Linked DNA regions of Callithrix jacchus. The protein of the gene in region 1 binds, or shares a complex with, the protein of each later gene. Links are inferred from orthologs where the notes say so. Each region holds a gene or a part of one and is shown in the gene's direction. Other genes may lie near its edges.

Region 1 (5,374 bases):
GGCTTTTTAGGCCTGGACCCACACTTGAGACACATCCTCCTTAGAGAGTTTAAGTGTTTTTAATAACAATGTACCTAGTACTTCTGGAAGACACTAGGCTAAATGCTTTGTGATTAAGGAAAAATAAGTCTTGTTCTCAGGTGATATAGTCTTGCTTGGAAAATAATGCATTTTAAAGACAAGTATAATATATAACCATAGTGTTTATATCAAATGCTGAATGAGTGGAACGAAAAATCAGGGGAAGGCAAAGCGACGTCCAGCTATGGGAAGGAGGGATTTTATGAAAGAGGTATGTTTTGATTCAGGCCCTGAGGATGGGTAAAACTACGTAAAATGGAAGGAAAATAATATAAGAGGGAGCAAGAAGCGGTAAGTGTAGGATTTGCTCATAAAACAGTTTTTTGAAGTGTGAGATTTGTGTATGTGACAATAGCCAAATGGTTAGGAAATGTAGGTTGGTGTTACAGAGTTTTTCAGTCCAGGCTAAAGAGTTCTCAGACTTTACTGTGACCTGGAATGCTTGTTAAAATACAGATTGCTAGGTTAAAATACAGACTCATTAGGTCTGAGGTGAGCCCAAGAATTGTTTCCTGGGTGATGCCAATGCTGTCTGAGGACTACATTTTGAGAACTATTGATCTTAGTCTTAAAGAATTAAAGATTAATGAAAAATTTTTAAAAAGTATTTTCACTTGTTAACACTAGCCTAGATGGATTACCTCACTTTGAGCTAATTGATCATAATTACTAGCTGAGGACTGCTTGTAATGCCCCTTTTTTGTTAATAATATTTTTTCCTTGAAAGAACTAAGGCTACTTTCTCAGTAATATTTTTTAAAAACTGGGCCTTTTCAAGGTTGGCCCAATTCCCTTCTAACCTGGCTTCAGGTGGGAATGTAGAGCAGAAATAGGAACAGGCCTATGCCTGGTCCCCTCACTCAGGCCACTTCAGGCCTAATCAAGGCTTTGCAGGGAATTTAGGCAGAGGCTGAAAGATGGAAGCAGGGTTGGTGTGAAGTGGCTCAGGGGTAAGGACCACTTTTCTAGCTAGGGTTCCTATGTAAATTTTATTGATTAAAATTGAAATAATTTTAGATTTTTTTAGATATACATGGATGTTTTTGATTTTGGGGTATCATGTATGAGATATAATGAGATACATACTTATAGGGAAAAATGATTTTCTCTGTTTTCACTTAGAATTTCAGATCACATGGCTGGGCGTGGTGGCTTATGCCTGTAATCCTAGCACTTTGGGAGGCTTGGGCAGATTGCTTGAGGCCCAGAGTTTGAGCTATGCTGGCTAGTGCTGGCCATGCTGGCCAATATGGTGAAACCCTGTCTCCACTAAAAATACAAAAATTAGCTGGACATGGTGGTCTGTGCCTGTAATCCCAGCTACTCAGGAAGCTGAAGCAGGAGAATCGCTTGAATCCAGAAGGCGGAGGCTACAGTGAGCCAAGATCACGCCACTGCACTCCAGCCTGGGAAGCAGAGTGAGACTCCATCTCAAAAAAAAAAAAAAAAAAAGAATTTCAGATCACAGTAATGATTTTTATACATAAATTCCATTCTTTGGGGTGCAGGAATGGTTAATGATTTGCATTCTTCTAGATAAGGTGAATCACAGTGTAATATAAATAATTATATTTCTGTAAAAGGAGTTTGAAATTTGTAGGATTTTAAACATATTTATGGAGTCTTGTTACTTTGTTTTCAAATATTATTGATAAAGCCAAGGGATAACTGTTTAGAAATGTACTCAATATGAATACTCAAGGATTTTTGTTTTTGTTTTTTTTTATTTCATATGCATTTCTTCCTGCCTTATTCTTCACACTGGTGTTTTTGTCCCTTCAGCTTTCTCATGGAATATACAGCCTGATGTAATCCTTACAGCCTGGGTCAGTCAGAGAGAGTCAGCATCTCCATTTCCTTGAGATGTTTAAAACACAAACAAGCAAATAATAGCTGCCTATAACCCACAACCAAGTTTTGGGCCTCAGATAATAATTCCAGGTAGAATAATTCTGGAAAATAACTCTTAAACTGCAGTTTTTCTTGAAATCCCTTCTGTTTGCTCAACTTGCAAAGGGTTAAAAATCTGGTTTCATTAGTTAATTGTGACATAGCCCAAGTTTTAGCTGATAGATAATTCCTTTACTGATTCTGCTTTTAGATATTTTTTCTTTTAAATTTCATTTTATGATTATTATTTCTGAATATACAATTTCTTCCAAAAATAGGACAAGGACAAATACCAGTTTGGTAAGACAAAGATCTTTTTCCGTGCTGGTCAAGTGGCCTATCTAGAAAAACTGAGAGCAGACAAACTGAGGGCTGCCTGCATCCGGATCCAGAAGACCATCCGAGGGTGGCTGCTGAGGAAGAAGTACCTACGCATGCGGAAGGCGGCCATTGCTGTGCAGAGATATGTGAGGGGCTACCAGGCCCGATGGTAGGTCTCATGGTGACATATTAGGGTGCCCATATAATTCACTGTCCAACCAAGGACAGTTTTAAGTGGTCACCATACCTGAAAAGATAACACCTCACCTTTTCTTAGTTCCAAGGAACAACAAATTAACTCATAGCACAACTAAATAGAATGAAATTCACTCAGCCTTATGAATTATTCGGATTTATCTTCCAAGCATTTACAAACTGCTGCCTACTTAATGTCCTAAAAATTTTTATTTTTGATACTTTTATATTGAGCTTGAGGAGATCGTATATTAATTAAGATAGTCATGAATATGAGCTGGTTAATAATGACTGCACTGAAGAATTTGGGGGAGCAATTAACTGAGATGATCTTGAAGAGAAGTACACTTTAGTGTGATTACATATTAGGTTGATTTTAATTGAGAAGTATAAGTAGAAATGAATTAATGAACTTATATGCTAGTAGATTCAGGAAAAATATGGTACGTTAGTAATGGCTAGATTCAAGAAAGCTGGTGATAACTAAGTGTGAGGTTACTGTGTATGTCCATCTGTTATATAAAGAGGACATAGTAATGGATCCTAATGCAGAAAGAATGAACTTTTTTGAATTTCACTTTCTTGTAAAATCTGGCTATGTGGGCCATCCTGCTTTTCAGGGTAAGGGAGGGCTCAAATGAGATAATAAATGAAAAAAAAACTTTGGGAAACTATAAATTGCTATACAAATGTAAGTAAATATAAATGTTGACTTAGCATGCACATTATTAGAATAATACAATGGAGGTACTACTTTTAATGCCTAAAACAGTGACACTCTTTACATTTCTATAACATGTATTCCTGTGTTTTTTTTCTGATGAGTGACAACACACTGTTATTTTCTTTGGCCAGCTATGCTAAGTTTCTGCGCAGAACCAAGGCAGCAACTATCATTCAAAAGTACTGGCGTATGTATGTGGTCCACAGGAGGTATAAGATTAGACGAGCTGCCACTATCGTTCTTCAGTCTTATTTGCGAGGCTACTTGGCCAGAAATAGGTATCGCAAGGTGAGGCATTATTTTCAACTTTGTTTTTTCATTCTATTAATATTAAACAAATTCCACTTCTATATAGAGCACCACAAGGGCTACAATAAACATAGGAACTGTATGGAGACAACCAGCAATTGAAATGTGTATTTATTTATTAAAAAATATTTTTTTTTTTAGAAACAGGATCTTGCTCTGTCATCCTGGCTGGGGTGTAGTGGTGCAGTCATAGCTCAACTGCAGCCTCAAACTCCTGGCCTCAAACAGTCCTCCCACCATGGCCTCCCAGAGTGCTGAAATTACAGGTGTGAGCCACCGTGCACATGCCCAGCCTGAAATGTATTTTAAAATACTAAATAATCACATATATTTATTAACAAAACAATAGGGAAAAAACATATACTTCTTTTTTCTCTTTGTTTATATAATTTGAAAAAAAAGTATTTTAGTTTCCTTTGGCTGCTATAATAAATTATCATAAACTTGGTACCTTAAACCAACTAAAATTTATTCTCTCAGAGTTCTGGAGACCGAAAGTCCAAAATCATTATCACTGGGGCAAAATCAAGTTGTTAGCAGGCTGCTGTCCCTCCAGAAGCTCCAGGAAAGAATCCATTCCTCCCTCTTGCAGCTTCTGGTTGCTGCCAGCATGCCTGTGCTTGTGGCCACATCAGTCCAGTCTCTGTCTCTGTCTTTACAGCATTTTCTCCTCTGTGTATCTGACTTCTCTTCTCCTATCTGCCTCTTATAAGAATAATTCGGATAGCATTTAGGTTGTACCATGTAATCCAGGATAATCCTCTCATCTGAAGATCCTTAACCTAATCATGTCTACAAAGGCACTTTTTCTGAATAAGTTAACATTTGCAGGTTCCAGGAATTAGCACCCAAATTCCTTGGGGCCCATTGTTTAGATGACTACAGGGAACTTTGAATAGGTAGAATATATGACAGACAGGTTGAAGATTATTCCAAGAATGAGACAACCTTGAGAGAAGTTTCCATGGTCAAGAGGAGACAAAGTATAACATTAATGCAGTTAAAATTGTATTGACAGGTATGATGCACCAAAAGTTTTTGACAAATAATCTTTTATCTAGCAATAATTAACAAGGTCACCAGAGTAATTTTAATTATCACCTGTGACCATTGAACAATTTTTATCTCTCATTTTGGCAAGGTTTGGAGTCTGTCCTATAGGGTATATTTCAAATAAGTGAGAAATAGAAGCCTGGATATTAGAGCTCTGTGGACATCACCATTAGAAGGAGCATTAATGGGGTGATTTGGGTCTCTAATCACAGGAAGTATATGGGTGTGACCTAGGCTCTATTTATTTTTTATTTATTTTGCTTTTTTATTTGAAGTGATTTTAGACAACAAAAAACTTGAAACCGTTGAGGCTTGAATGAGTGTATTTAATAGCTGTGTTTTGAAGATAGCTACTCCACATCTGTCTTTCTGCTCACCTCTCTTTTATGAGGTCTCATACTCTTTCTATATAAGCATGAGATTTTAGAGAAGGAAGAGGTTTGAAGTTGGCTTTTCAGATACACCAAACTAGTTAAATCTTCCTGTGTTCCTCAGTACTCTCCTTAGAAACATCTGAGTTGGGTTTTGAGCCATTGGTTTAGCAGTAGCAGTCTCTGGCCAGCTCAGGCTTCCACTGTGACTGGACCGGGTGGAGGTGGCAACGTAGAGGCTTGCTCACATGTAAGCCAACAGCATCACATTACTGCTCCTTCTAGCTGTATTTCAGGTCCAAGGTTCCCCTTCATGAGATGTGGCGGAGTCTTAAAGAGAGTACAGATGTTGATCAATTTCTCTCACTCATGATGAAGTGGGATTAAAAATGGAAGCTTGATTATATGCTGTTTCCATTTGACTAAAATT
Region 2 (4,287 bases), on another chromosome or scaffold:
AGTTCAGAAACAAGAATCTGCCTAGGAGGGACTTTCACCACTACGACTTTTAAACTTTATATCCTGCCACTTGGCAGTAGAAGACTCCAGGTGCAGACCTTCCTGAGAGAATGCTGAGGACTACATGTATTTTGGGTGGATACCTAAGTGTAAAGAAAAGCAGGATTTTGGAGTAGCATGAAATTACTGAGGTAACCAGGCATCCAGCCGAAGGCAAGGATGGTTTGAAGCGGGATGTGTGGAGGCTGGGATGCCACTGTTTCTCAGCTGCTTCTGTGTAGGCTTCCTCCCTGCTGACGATGCATTTCCCCTTTCCCTTCCAGAGCTGTCTGCACTTCCTGTAGCATAAAGGTGAGGAGTGTGTGGGATCTCTGGGGTCTGAACGAGGTAGGTGGCAGGCCCCACTGCCTTTGATTGGATGTGTTGGATGGTCCTGCTCGCCGGGCACCTCATCCATTTCCTCTCAGGCAGAATCCATTCTTATACTTTCCAAGACAGTGTGCAGTTTTTAAAGACCCTTACAGGTTTTTGTCTGTAAACACTCCATGTTAGTAGCCTGGTGCCAAAAGAAACCCTTCGCTTCCCGTCTCAAAGGCCCATCTTCTGACATTCTGTAACTTTGGGTGTTTTAGGAGGGGTTCCTTATTGCAGCTGTGTGTGTGCTTATGCCTGTTACCCCAGCACTTTGGGAGGCCATGGCTGGCAGACCGCTTGAGACCAGCCTGGCCAACATGGTGAACCCCCATCTCTATTAAAAATACAAAAAAATTAGCTGGGCATGGTGGAACACACCTGTAATCCCAGCTACTCAGGAGGCTGAGGTACGAGAATCACTCGAACCCGGGAGACAGAGGCCGTGGTGAGCTATGATGATGCCACTGCACTCCAGCGTGGGTGACATATCGAAACTCTGTCTCATAAATACATACATACATAGATACAACTATGTCAGCAGCCAGGCAAGGTGGCTCATGCCTGCAGTTCCAGCACTTGGGAGGCTGAGGGAAGAGGATCTCTTGAGCCCAGAAGTTCAAGGCTACAGTGAGCTATGGTGCTGCTGCACTCCATCTGGGCAGCAGAGCAAGATCTTGTGTCTTCAAAAAAAAAAAAAAAAAAGTTTCTCTTTATGCCTCAGTTCAGAAGCAAGACTCTGCTTCAGGGGCACCTTTCCCACCACTGTTTTAAAACCCTTACTCTATATCCTGGTACTTGGCAATGGGAAAACTTCCACCGCATCTGCGTTAAATGTTGATTATGTGTAGGGCACGGTGGTAGGTCCCATATGGTATAAAAAGGTCCAGTTTTTGCCCTCCAAGAAGGCCCTGTCCAGATGAGCAGAGAGCGTGAATGGTCATGTGTGGGTCTTCAGACAAATGGCACAGAGACATCGGAAATTCTCTAGGTGGTGCTGCTGGCTGCCACGCAGGTACCACAGGGTTCTCCGGCACTGAGTGTGACTTGAATGTCCCTGTGGAGTGCCTGGTCCATACCTCCTCCCTCTGCTGCAGATGAAGATGCCTTCTAAGAAGTTTGCACACATCCCTGTCTACACGCTGGGCTTTGAGAGTCCTCAGAGGGCATCGGCTGCCAAAACCACGCCAGTCCAGAGAAGAGACGTCTTCCAGTGCGTTCTTTGCCTTGCTGCTGATGTCGCTGTGGTGGTGGGGCATGAACAGTAACCCGGGAGCTGGGGTGGAGGGGGCCAAGGCAGGTCTCTGGGAGGCTGAGTGGTAGGAAATGGACTTGAGTGGTCAGGGAGCAGTGTTTGCTGAGATGAACACTGCTAGCTGTGTCACTTACACAAAACCCCATGGGTGTCTGAGGGCCAAGGGGAGGCCTAGGGCAAAAGGCAGCCAGGAGGGGGCTCTGGGATACAGGGTCAGGGACAGGGGTGGGCTCTTGCACCCTGGCCGGCTGCTTTCCCTGACTGCCCTCTCCTGCTCCCTAGATCTCTGCAAGGACCACAGTGGCAGAGCGTGGAGGAGGCATTCCCCCACATCTACTCCCACGGCTGTGTCCTCAAGGACGTCTGCAGTGAGTGCAGCAGCTTTGTGGCCGACGTGGTGCGCTCCAGCCGTAAGAGCGTGGACGTCCTCAACACTACGCCACGACGAAGTCGCCAGACCCAGTCCCTCTACATCCCTAACACCAGGACTCTTGACTTCAAGTGACAGGAAGCACCAGGCAGGCCCTGTTCCAGGCCAGGACGCGCTGAGCTGTGCATGTACATATATACATATATAGATAGATTTATAATATATACACCCGGCCTATATATTTATAGACGTCGTTGCCTCGCCCCAGAGCTCATTTGGGTTCAGGCGCACTTCAGAACTCTCCCTCGGGGAGGCTGTTTCTTCTCAGGATTCCTTGCCAGGGAGGAAGGTGGGGGAACAGGGAGTGGGTTTTCTCACTGAGGAGAGAGAGCAGAGGGTTCTAGATCCTGGCACAGACTGCATCCCATGTTCCCATTCTCTTCTCTGTCCCCAGCAATGAGGATAGCAGCTTCCCCTCCCTGGTGGATGTCTAGGTGGGGATTGGGTGTCTTGGCTCCCAGCTGGACCAGAGTGCCCTGCTCGCCTCTGCTATCCCTTCGTGGAGACTTGGGCAGCACCTGGGAAGTGTCTGAGTGAGCGAGGTTCTCCTGGGAGGCACCCCCGCCTCTGTTTGAAAGGTCTGGCCAGGCATGGTGGCTCACACCTGTAATCCCAGCACTTTGGGAGGCCGAGGAGGGAAGATCGCCTGAGGTCAGAAGTTCAAGAGCAGCCTGGCCAACATGAGTCAACCTTGCCTCTGCTAAAAATACAAAAATTAGCCGGGCGTGGTGGTGCACACCTATAATCCTAGCTACTCAGGAGGCTGAGACAGAAGAATCACTTGAACCTCGAAGGCAGAGGTTGCAGTGAGCCATGATCACACCACTACACTCCAGCCTGGGTGATAGAGTAAGACTCTGTCTCAAAAAAAAAAAAGGTCCATGCCAAGCTTCTCTCTGCCCTTGCCTGGGGTCCACACCCCAGCTGTCCTGCCCCTTTGCCCTACCACATTCTGGTGCTGTCCTCACTCGCCTCCGGCTCAGAGGCTACTGAAGGTGCTGGGAAGTCCCAGTCCAGGGAGGAGGAGCTCTGTCAATCTGTGCACATGGCCAGGCTTGGCCTAATAAAGGAAGTCTCACGTTCTGTCTGGATGTGCACTGAGGGTGCGCCCAGCATGGCAGTGGGCATATTCTCCCAAGATTGAAGCTCAGCTTGAGGGGCCACCTGCCCTCCAGGACCAGGAAAGGCCTCCCTGGCTTAGCACAGTTGCATGCCCACCCGGCAAGGGTCCCAGGCCTGCTCTGTCCCTGCAGCCCTGGCTGGCTCTACCAGCTTCCGTGGTCCTGGCCACCTTGGTTAGGGGTGCAGGCAGACAGCACAGACCACATCCCATCACCTCCCTTGGCCACATCTGCTGGCCTGGGGGACAGTTTAGTCTCACTTCCCAGATCCCTATTCTTGTTCTCCAGGGAGAGGAATCACAGGGGCTGGAGGTATGACAGGCTCTGGACAGGCCCTGTGCCCAGTGCTGTCTGCCCACCAGTGCCTGGCTCAGCCTGGTACAGCGCCCTGCCCTGTTCCTCTGTGAGGCTCTGCTTTCATTTCACCTTACACATGAGGAAACTGAGGCTCAACCAGGTAAAATAATTTGGCCAAAAAAACAGCTCACCCAGGAACTTTGGCCCCAAGCTGTAATGCCAGCCATGGGGCTTGGAGGTTAGGAAGGGATCTGACTTGTAACAGATTGGCCTGTGGGAGAAACACTCCTATCAGCTGGGGCCCAGGAAATCCACACACACAGTTAGAGCCCCCAATAAAATCAGCCAGCTTCGGCTGTGTGTGTGTGTGTGTATTTCTTTTTGAGACAGAATTTTTTTTTTTTTTTTCCAGAGTTTGGGTCTTGTTGCCCAGTCTGGAATGCAATGGCGTGATCTCTGCTCACAGCAACCTCTGCCTCCTGCTGGCCCTGTATTTTTATTCCTGTTTAAAACTAAGAAAACAGTCATGCACGGTGGCTCACGCCTGTAGTCTTAGCACTTTGGGAGGCTGAGGTGGACGGATCACGACGACATGAGCTCGAGACCAGCCTGATCAACATGGTGAAACCCTGTCTCTACTAAAAATGAGCCAGGTGTGGTGGCACATGCCTGTAATCCCAGCTACTCGGGGACTGAGGGAGGAGAATTGCTTGAACCCAGGAGGCAGAGGTTGTAGCAAGCCAAGATTGTGCCACTGTACTCCAGCCTGGGTG
Region 3 (5,374 bases), on another chromosome or scaffold:
CCCGTACTGTCAGCGTCCCTGTCGCACGTGTAAGTGTCAGGCAGCAGCCCGTACTGTCAGCGTCCCTGTCACACGTGTAAGTGTCAGACAGCAGCCCGTACTGTCAGCGTCCCTGTCACACGTGTAAGTGTCAGGCAGCAGCCCATACTGTCAGCGTCCCTGTCACACGTGTAAGAACCAGCAGCAGCCCATACTGTCAGCGTCCCTGTCACACGTGTAAGTGTCAGGCAGCAGCCCGTACTGTCAGCGTCCCTGTCACACGTGTAAGAACCAGCAGCAGCCCGTACTGTCAGCGTCCCTGTCACACGTGTAAGTGTCAGGCAGCAGCCCATACTGTCAGCGTCCCTGTCACACGTGTAAGTGTCAGGCAGCAGCCCGTACTGTCAGCGTCCCTGTCACACGTGTAAGAACCGGCAGCAGCCCGTACTGGCAGCGTCCCTGTTGCACGTGTAAGTGTCAGGCAGCAGCCCGTACTGTCAGCGTCCCTGTCGCACGTGTAAGTGTCAGGCAGCAGCCCGTACTGGCAGCGTCCCTGTCGCACGTGTAAGTGTCAGGCAGCAGCCCATACTGTCAGCGTCCCTGTCACACGTGTAAGAACCGGCAGCAGCCCGTACTGGCAGCGTCCCTGTCACACGTGTAAGTGTCAGGCAGCAGCCCATACTGTCAGCGTCCCTGTCACACGTGTAAGAACCGGCAGCAGCCCGTACTGTCAGCGTCCCTGTCACACGTGTAAGTGTCAGGCAGCAGCCCGTACTGTCAGCGTCCCTGTCGCACGTGTAAGAACCGGCAGCAGCCCATACTGTCAGCGTCCCTGTCACACGTGTAAGAACTGGCAGCAGCCCATACTGTCAGCGTCCCTGTCGCACGTGTAAGAACCGGCAGCAGCCCATACTGTCAGCGTCCCTGTCGCACCTGTAAGTGTCAGGCATCAGTGTCCTTTTAAGGTACAGAGAAAGCCCATCTGCCTGGTGCTCAGCTCACCCCTGTAGCTTTCCTCCACAGATGAAATCCCCACCACCACCAAAAAAGACAGCTTTTCAAGGCAATCCTGTCTGCAGCTTCTCTGAATAAACACCCGGAAATATGTCCCAGAAGTCCATTCTGGGGTGGCATATTTTGGTTTCCTTCACAACCCAACAATTGGAACACAGGTCAGGAGGTGGAGGAAGGTAGAGAAGAATCAATCGAGGCAGAAGGTCCCTGGGGCGAGGCTGCCATTTCAAATGAGATGCCCCCACTGAGCGTGAGATTTGCCCGAAGAGCTGGCAGAGGTGCCAGAACTGCCGTGTGGCTGTCTAGGATGGAGTGTGGCAGCCCTTCTACAGTCCCAAGGAGGGAGCACCTGCAGGAGACAGCGTGGCCAGGATGGGTGAGACAGAGGCAGGCCTGGGAGCAGAGAGGCCGGAGCTGGGCCTCGTGCCGGCGTCAGACAAGATGGAGCCTCCCAGGCTCTGCCTTTACTATGGAGTTGGGGAGGCTTGAGCAGAAGACAGCTGGCTGAGGGCACGGGGTTGCTCTGGCTGTCCTGAGAACAGGCTGTGGAGTGGGAGTGAGGCAGCAGGGCCGGCTGGGAGAAGGTGGTGGTAGGACCGGGTAGAGTAACAAAGTGAAATGAGACAGGCATGTCCGGGGAGCCTCGCAAAGGCAGAGCCCACAGGAATGGCTCTTTGGGATGAGAGGAAAAGGCGAGTCAGGATGTCTGCAAGGCTCTTGGCCTGAGCTTTAAAGAGTTGAGCTGCCTCCACCAAAAAGAGCGAGACGCCTTAGCACTGTTATGGCTGTAAGAGGCAATTGGGATGATTTTGTGTTTTTATCACTTAATTCTGTTGCCCTCTCAGAGCTGGCACATCAAACCCTTCCTGAAAGGCTGGCGTCCACAACAGACAAAGCCTACCCTTAGCCTCCCTTCCTCCCGCACACAGACAAGGCGGCCAGTGGAAGGAGACCCTTTCTCACTCACAGCCCAGCGCTGCTTTTATGTGATTGGGAGCCATGTGACACAGAGAACTGACCAGCAGCAGCTGCTAAGTCAGTCCTTGGCCAGACTGTGGGAAGGTACAGCTCCTGGTACTGGACCATCCAAAGCCAGCTGTGCATTTCCCTGAGAGACAGTGGGCAAAGAGCCATGACTCCATGCCCCTCTCCCCATCCATAGAGTAAGGACATGACTCCACAATCCTCTCCCCATCCATAGAGTAAGGACATGACTCCATGCCCCTCTCCCCATCCACAGAGTAAGGACATCCACCTGGAATACACAAGAGGCACCCTTAGATGTAAGGGATGAGAGGATCTTAGCTAGAGGTGGTGGGCATCTTTCCCTAGGAAGCCCCGTCCTGCAGAGTCTGCTTCTGGAGTCTGGGACTGGGCCCCAGAGGGGCACAGTGGACAAGCTTGCATGGAGAAGGGAGGCAGCCCGAGCTCAGCAGGAACCCCAGGGGTGCTGGGCCCAGGCCCACCTCCCAGAGCCAACCCTTGAGCTCCACGGCTCCAGATGATGAGCCGAATACAAACTCACTGGCTTGTTCTGTCAGGGTGTAGGTGCTGGAGTGCACACGGAGGCTGATGTGGAGGAGGAGACCCTGAGGAGGAAGCTGGAGGAGCTGACCAGCAACGTCAGTGATGAGGGGCCCTCGTCTGAGGAAGAGGAGACCAAGGACGAAAAGGCAGAGCCCGACAGGGGCACCTCAGTTGGGACCCTCCCCCATGCAGACTCAGAGGTAAGACCACCCCCAGGGGTCTCAGCAGGACCCTGCAGGGGGGCAAGAAAGGACAGTTCCAGGTAGCCACCACCCTCCCCAGAGAGGCAGCCACTGCATGGGGACACCAAGAGCCCTTGAGGGGGTCCATGGTGGGTGGCCAGCTCCTGGCCGACCAGTTCCCAGGGTTCAGAGAGGAGAGAAATGTCAGGGCAAGTCCCCGTCTGGGTGAGACCCACACTCCCTCCTGGAGCTGGTCAGCCTCCGTCCTTCTCTTTCCTAGGTGGGCACAGCTGCCCATCAAACCAACAGACAGGAAAAGAGCCGCCAGGGCCCTGAGGACCCCGTCCAGCACAACAGGACCACAGATGAGGCGCTGTCGGAGCTGGAGGACAGAGTGGCAGTGACAGTCTCAGAAGTCCAGCAGGCAGAGAGCGAGGTAGCCCCGAAGGCACAGGGGAGCACGTGCAGGGTTCCACAAACACAGATGGTGACCGTGGCTGGGTGTTGACCGTCTGACTGACAGCTCACACCAAGCCCTCCCCACTGGCCCAGGATGCACGCCTCTGAAGGCCGAGCATGCACCTGAGGTTCCTGTGGGGCTCACCTGGCTTGCCACCCCCTGAGCCCTCCACCCCTTCCCTTTTTCCAACTTGGTGAGGGACAGGCAGGGTTACTACCAAGAAAAAAGTACTGACCACTCACAATCCCTGACCTGTAAGCAGGCCTGGAATTTAGGGCAGCCCCAGACTCAGGACTGGACTCTGTCCCCAGGGCCATCTGTGAGTCCCAGTGTGGCTGCAGAGCTTGCATCTGGGTGAGGAACATATCAATCGTGCACAAAGGTCAAAGGGCAAAGCCAACACATTGAGGCCTCCCAGGGACAGCCGATGTGACTTGTGCATGCTCTGTCCTCCCCAGAGACCTACAGAGAGGAGAGGGTCTGCCCCTCAGACTGTGGGGACAGCCAGCCCCCTGGCCCTCCTCTGCTTCCCTTCTCATGAGCAGGCACCTGTCACCCCCTGAGGAAGAAGGGCACATACCCCAGGGCTGTTCCCGTTGAGGGGGCAAGTCAGGCTCCGGAATCCCCTCATTTCTTCCTTCTCGCTTGGGCTCTGGACTCCCCTTGTTTCTTCCTTCTCGCTCGGGCTCTGGACTTTCCCTTCATTTCTTCCTCCTCGCTCTGCAAATCAGCTTCAAATGCCTGAAATGCAGCCACGTTGTGTAGGTCACGGAAGATACAGCTGCAAATGCCTTAGACCAAGCCCCCGCCTTCCTGAAGCTTCTGTTTTTAGTAGGAGGAGGTAAATAGCAAACCAGATCCTTTGGGTTCTCGTAAAGTGCATGAAGACCATCAGTAAAGGTACCCCTAGGGCGCTCGGGGCAGGGCGATTCAGATAAGGTGGTCAGGAGGGATGCCAGGGAAATGAACCAGCCCGGCAAATCCAGGAGGCAGGAGCCTGGGTGGAGGGAGCAGCGTGTGCCAGGGCCCTGGGGTGGCAGTGAGTTTGGCACGCGCAGGGATCAGTCATGAAACCCTGAGACTGGGTCAGAGTGATGAGAGGGAGACTGTGAGGAGGATGGGCTGGAAGGATCTGAGTAGGGTGATGGGGCCTGGTTTCTGTTTCCAGAAGCTGCCCCTGGCTGCTGTGGGAGGGGTGGCCTCAGGGGCAAGGAGCGGAAGGGGAGCTGGGCAAGGATGATGTCAGTAGGGGTGGCTGAGTGCTAGGTGAAGAGTAGCCACCACCGTCCTCCCCAGTCATGGCCCCTCCTCCAGCTCTTTATGAGAACCAGACTCCCTATGACTCCAGAAAATGCACCCCCTCCTGCCTGGGGTGGCACACAAGAAAGGTACCCCCCTTCTCAATAACCATGGAAGATAAATGCCAAGGGGACCACCAAGATGGGCATGGGGCTGGGACGCCAATCTTGAGGGAAAACACAAGTAAAATTGGCTCCAGGAGTGAGCTGGGGGCAGCTGCTCTTTCTGTCCATGACTTTGAGGTGGGACCTCGAGCATCTGTCTGATGGGCCGCCTGTCTACTGTCCTCTCCAGGTTTCAGACATCGAATCCAGGATTGCAGCCCTGAGGGCTGCGGGGCTCACAGTGAAGCCCTCGGGAAAGCCCCGGAGGAGGTCAAACCTCCCGGTGAGTGGGGGCACAATGGTGAGTGGGGGGGCACAGTGTTGAGCAGGGGCGCAGTGGTGATCGGGGGCACAGTGAGTGGGGGTACAGTGAGTGGAGGTGCAGTGGTGAGGGGGGCATAGTGGTGAGTGGGGGTGCAGTGGTGAGTGGGGGTACAGTGGTCAGTTGGGGGTGCAGTGGTCAGTGGGGGGGTGCAGTGGTGATTGGGGGCTGCAGAGGTGAGTGGGGGTGCAGTGAGTGGGGTTACAGTGGTGAGTTGAGGCACAGTGGTGAGTGGGGGGTGTAGTGGTGAGTGGGGGCACAGTGGTGAGCGGGGGCACAGTGAGTGGGCACAGTGGTAAGTGGGGGTGCAGTGGTGAGTGGGGGTGAAGTGGTGAGTGGGGTTACAGTGGTCAGTGGAGGGTGCAGTGGTGAGTGAGGGTGTAGTGGTCAGTTGGGGGTGCAGTGGTCAGTGGGGGGTGCAGTGGTGATTGGGGGCTGCAGAGGTGAGTGGGGGTGCAGTGAGTGGGGTTACAGTGGTGAGTTGAGG

Evidence for each region.
Region 2: the proteins of MYO5A (region 1) and SPIRE2 are in contact, whole or in part, in a crystal structure (PDB 5JCY), measured with the Homo sapiens proteins. The link is inferred for Callithrix jacchus from reciprocal best matches to the Homo sapiens genes MYO5A and SPIRE2. Residues at the interface, in NP_001369276.1 of Homo sapiens: Asp1551, Val1554, Arg1555, Thr1559, Ile1562, Asn1563, Lys1566, Ser1597, Gly1598, Leu1615, Thr1616, Asn1617, Phe1618, Asp1619, Leu1620, Ala1621, Glu1622, Tyr1623, Val1626, Asp1629, Leu1630, Gln1633; in NP_115827.1 of Homo sapiens: Arg404, Pro405, Arg406, Val407, Leu408, Leu409, Lys410, Ala411, Pro412, Thr413, Leu414, Met417, Glu418, Met420.
Region 3: the proteins of MYO5A (region 1) and MLPH are in contact, whole or in part, in a crystal structure (PDB 4KP3), measured with the Mus musculus proteins. The link is inferred for Callithrix jacchus from reciprocal best matches to the Homo sapiens genes MYO5A and MLPH. Residues at the interface, in NP_034994.2 of Mus musculus: Asp1524, Val1527, Arg1528, Leu1531, Thr1532, Ile1535, Asn1536, Lys1539, Ser1570, Gly1571, Leu1588, Thr1589, Asn1590, Phe1591, Asp1592, Leu1593, Ala1594, Glu1595, Tyr1596, Val1599; in NP_443748.2 of Mus musculus: Lys184, Lys186, Arg187, Leu188, Leu189, Ser190, Phe191, Arg192, Asp195, Phe196, Glu197.

The regions. Positions count from the first base shown.
Region 1 is NC_133509.1:40,062,931-40,068,304, reverse strand, and holds part of MYO5A (unconventional myosin-Va), read left to right. Parts: intron 1-2,249; coding exon 2,250-2,461; intron 2,462-3,342; coding exon 3,343-3,499; intron 3,500-5,374. UniProt on the Homo sapiens protein: Processive actin-based motor that can move in large steps approximating the 36-nm pseudo-repeat of the actin filament. Can hydrolyze ATP in the presence of actin, which is essential for its function as a motor protein. Involved in melanosome transport.
Region 2 is NC_133521.1:47,502,893-47,507,179, forward strand, and holds the end of SPIRE2 (protein spire homolog 2), read left to right. Parts: intron 1-323; coding exon 324-351; intron 352-1,508; coding exon 1,509-1,624; intron 1,625-1,948; coding exon 1,949-2,171; 3' UTR 2,172-3,179; downstream 3,180-4,287. UniProt on the Homo sapiens protein: Acts as an actin nucleation factor, remains associated with the slow-growing pointed end of the new filament.
Region 3 is NC_133507.1:158,840,857-158,846,230, forward strand, and holds part of MLPH (melanophilin), read left to right. Parts: intron 1-2,534; coding exon 2,535-2,720; intron 2,721-2,982; coding exon 2,983-3,138; intron 3,139-4,755; coding exon 4,756-4,848; intron 4,849-5,374. UniProt on the Homo sapiens protein: Rab effector protein involved in melanosome transport. Serves as link between melanosome-bound RAB27A and the motor protein MYO5A.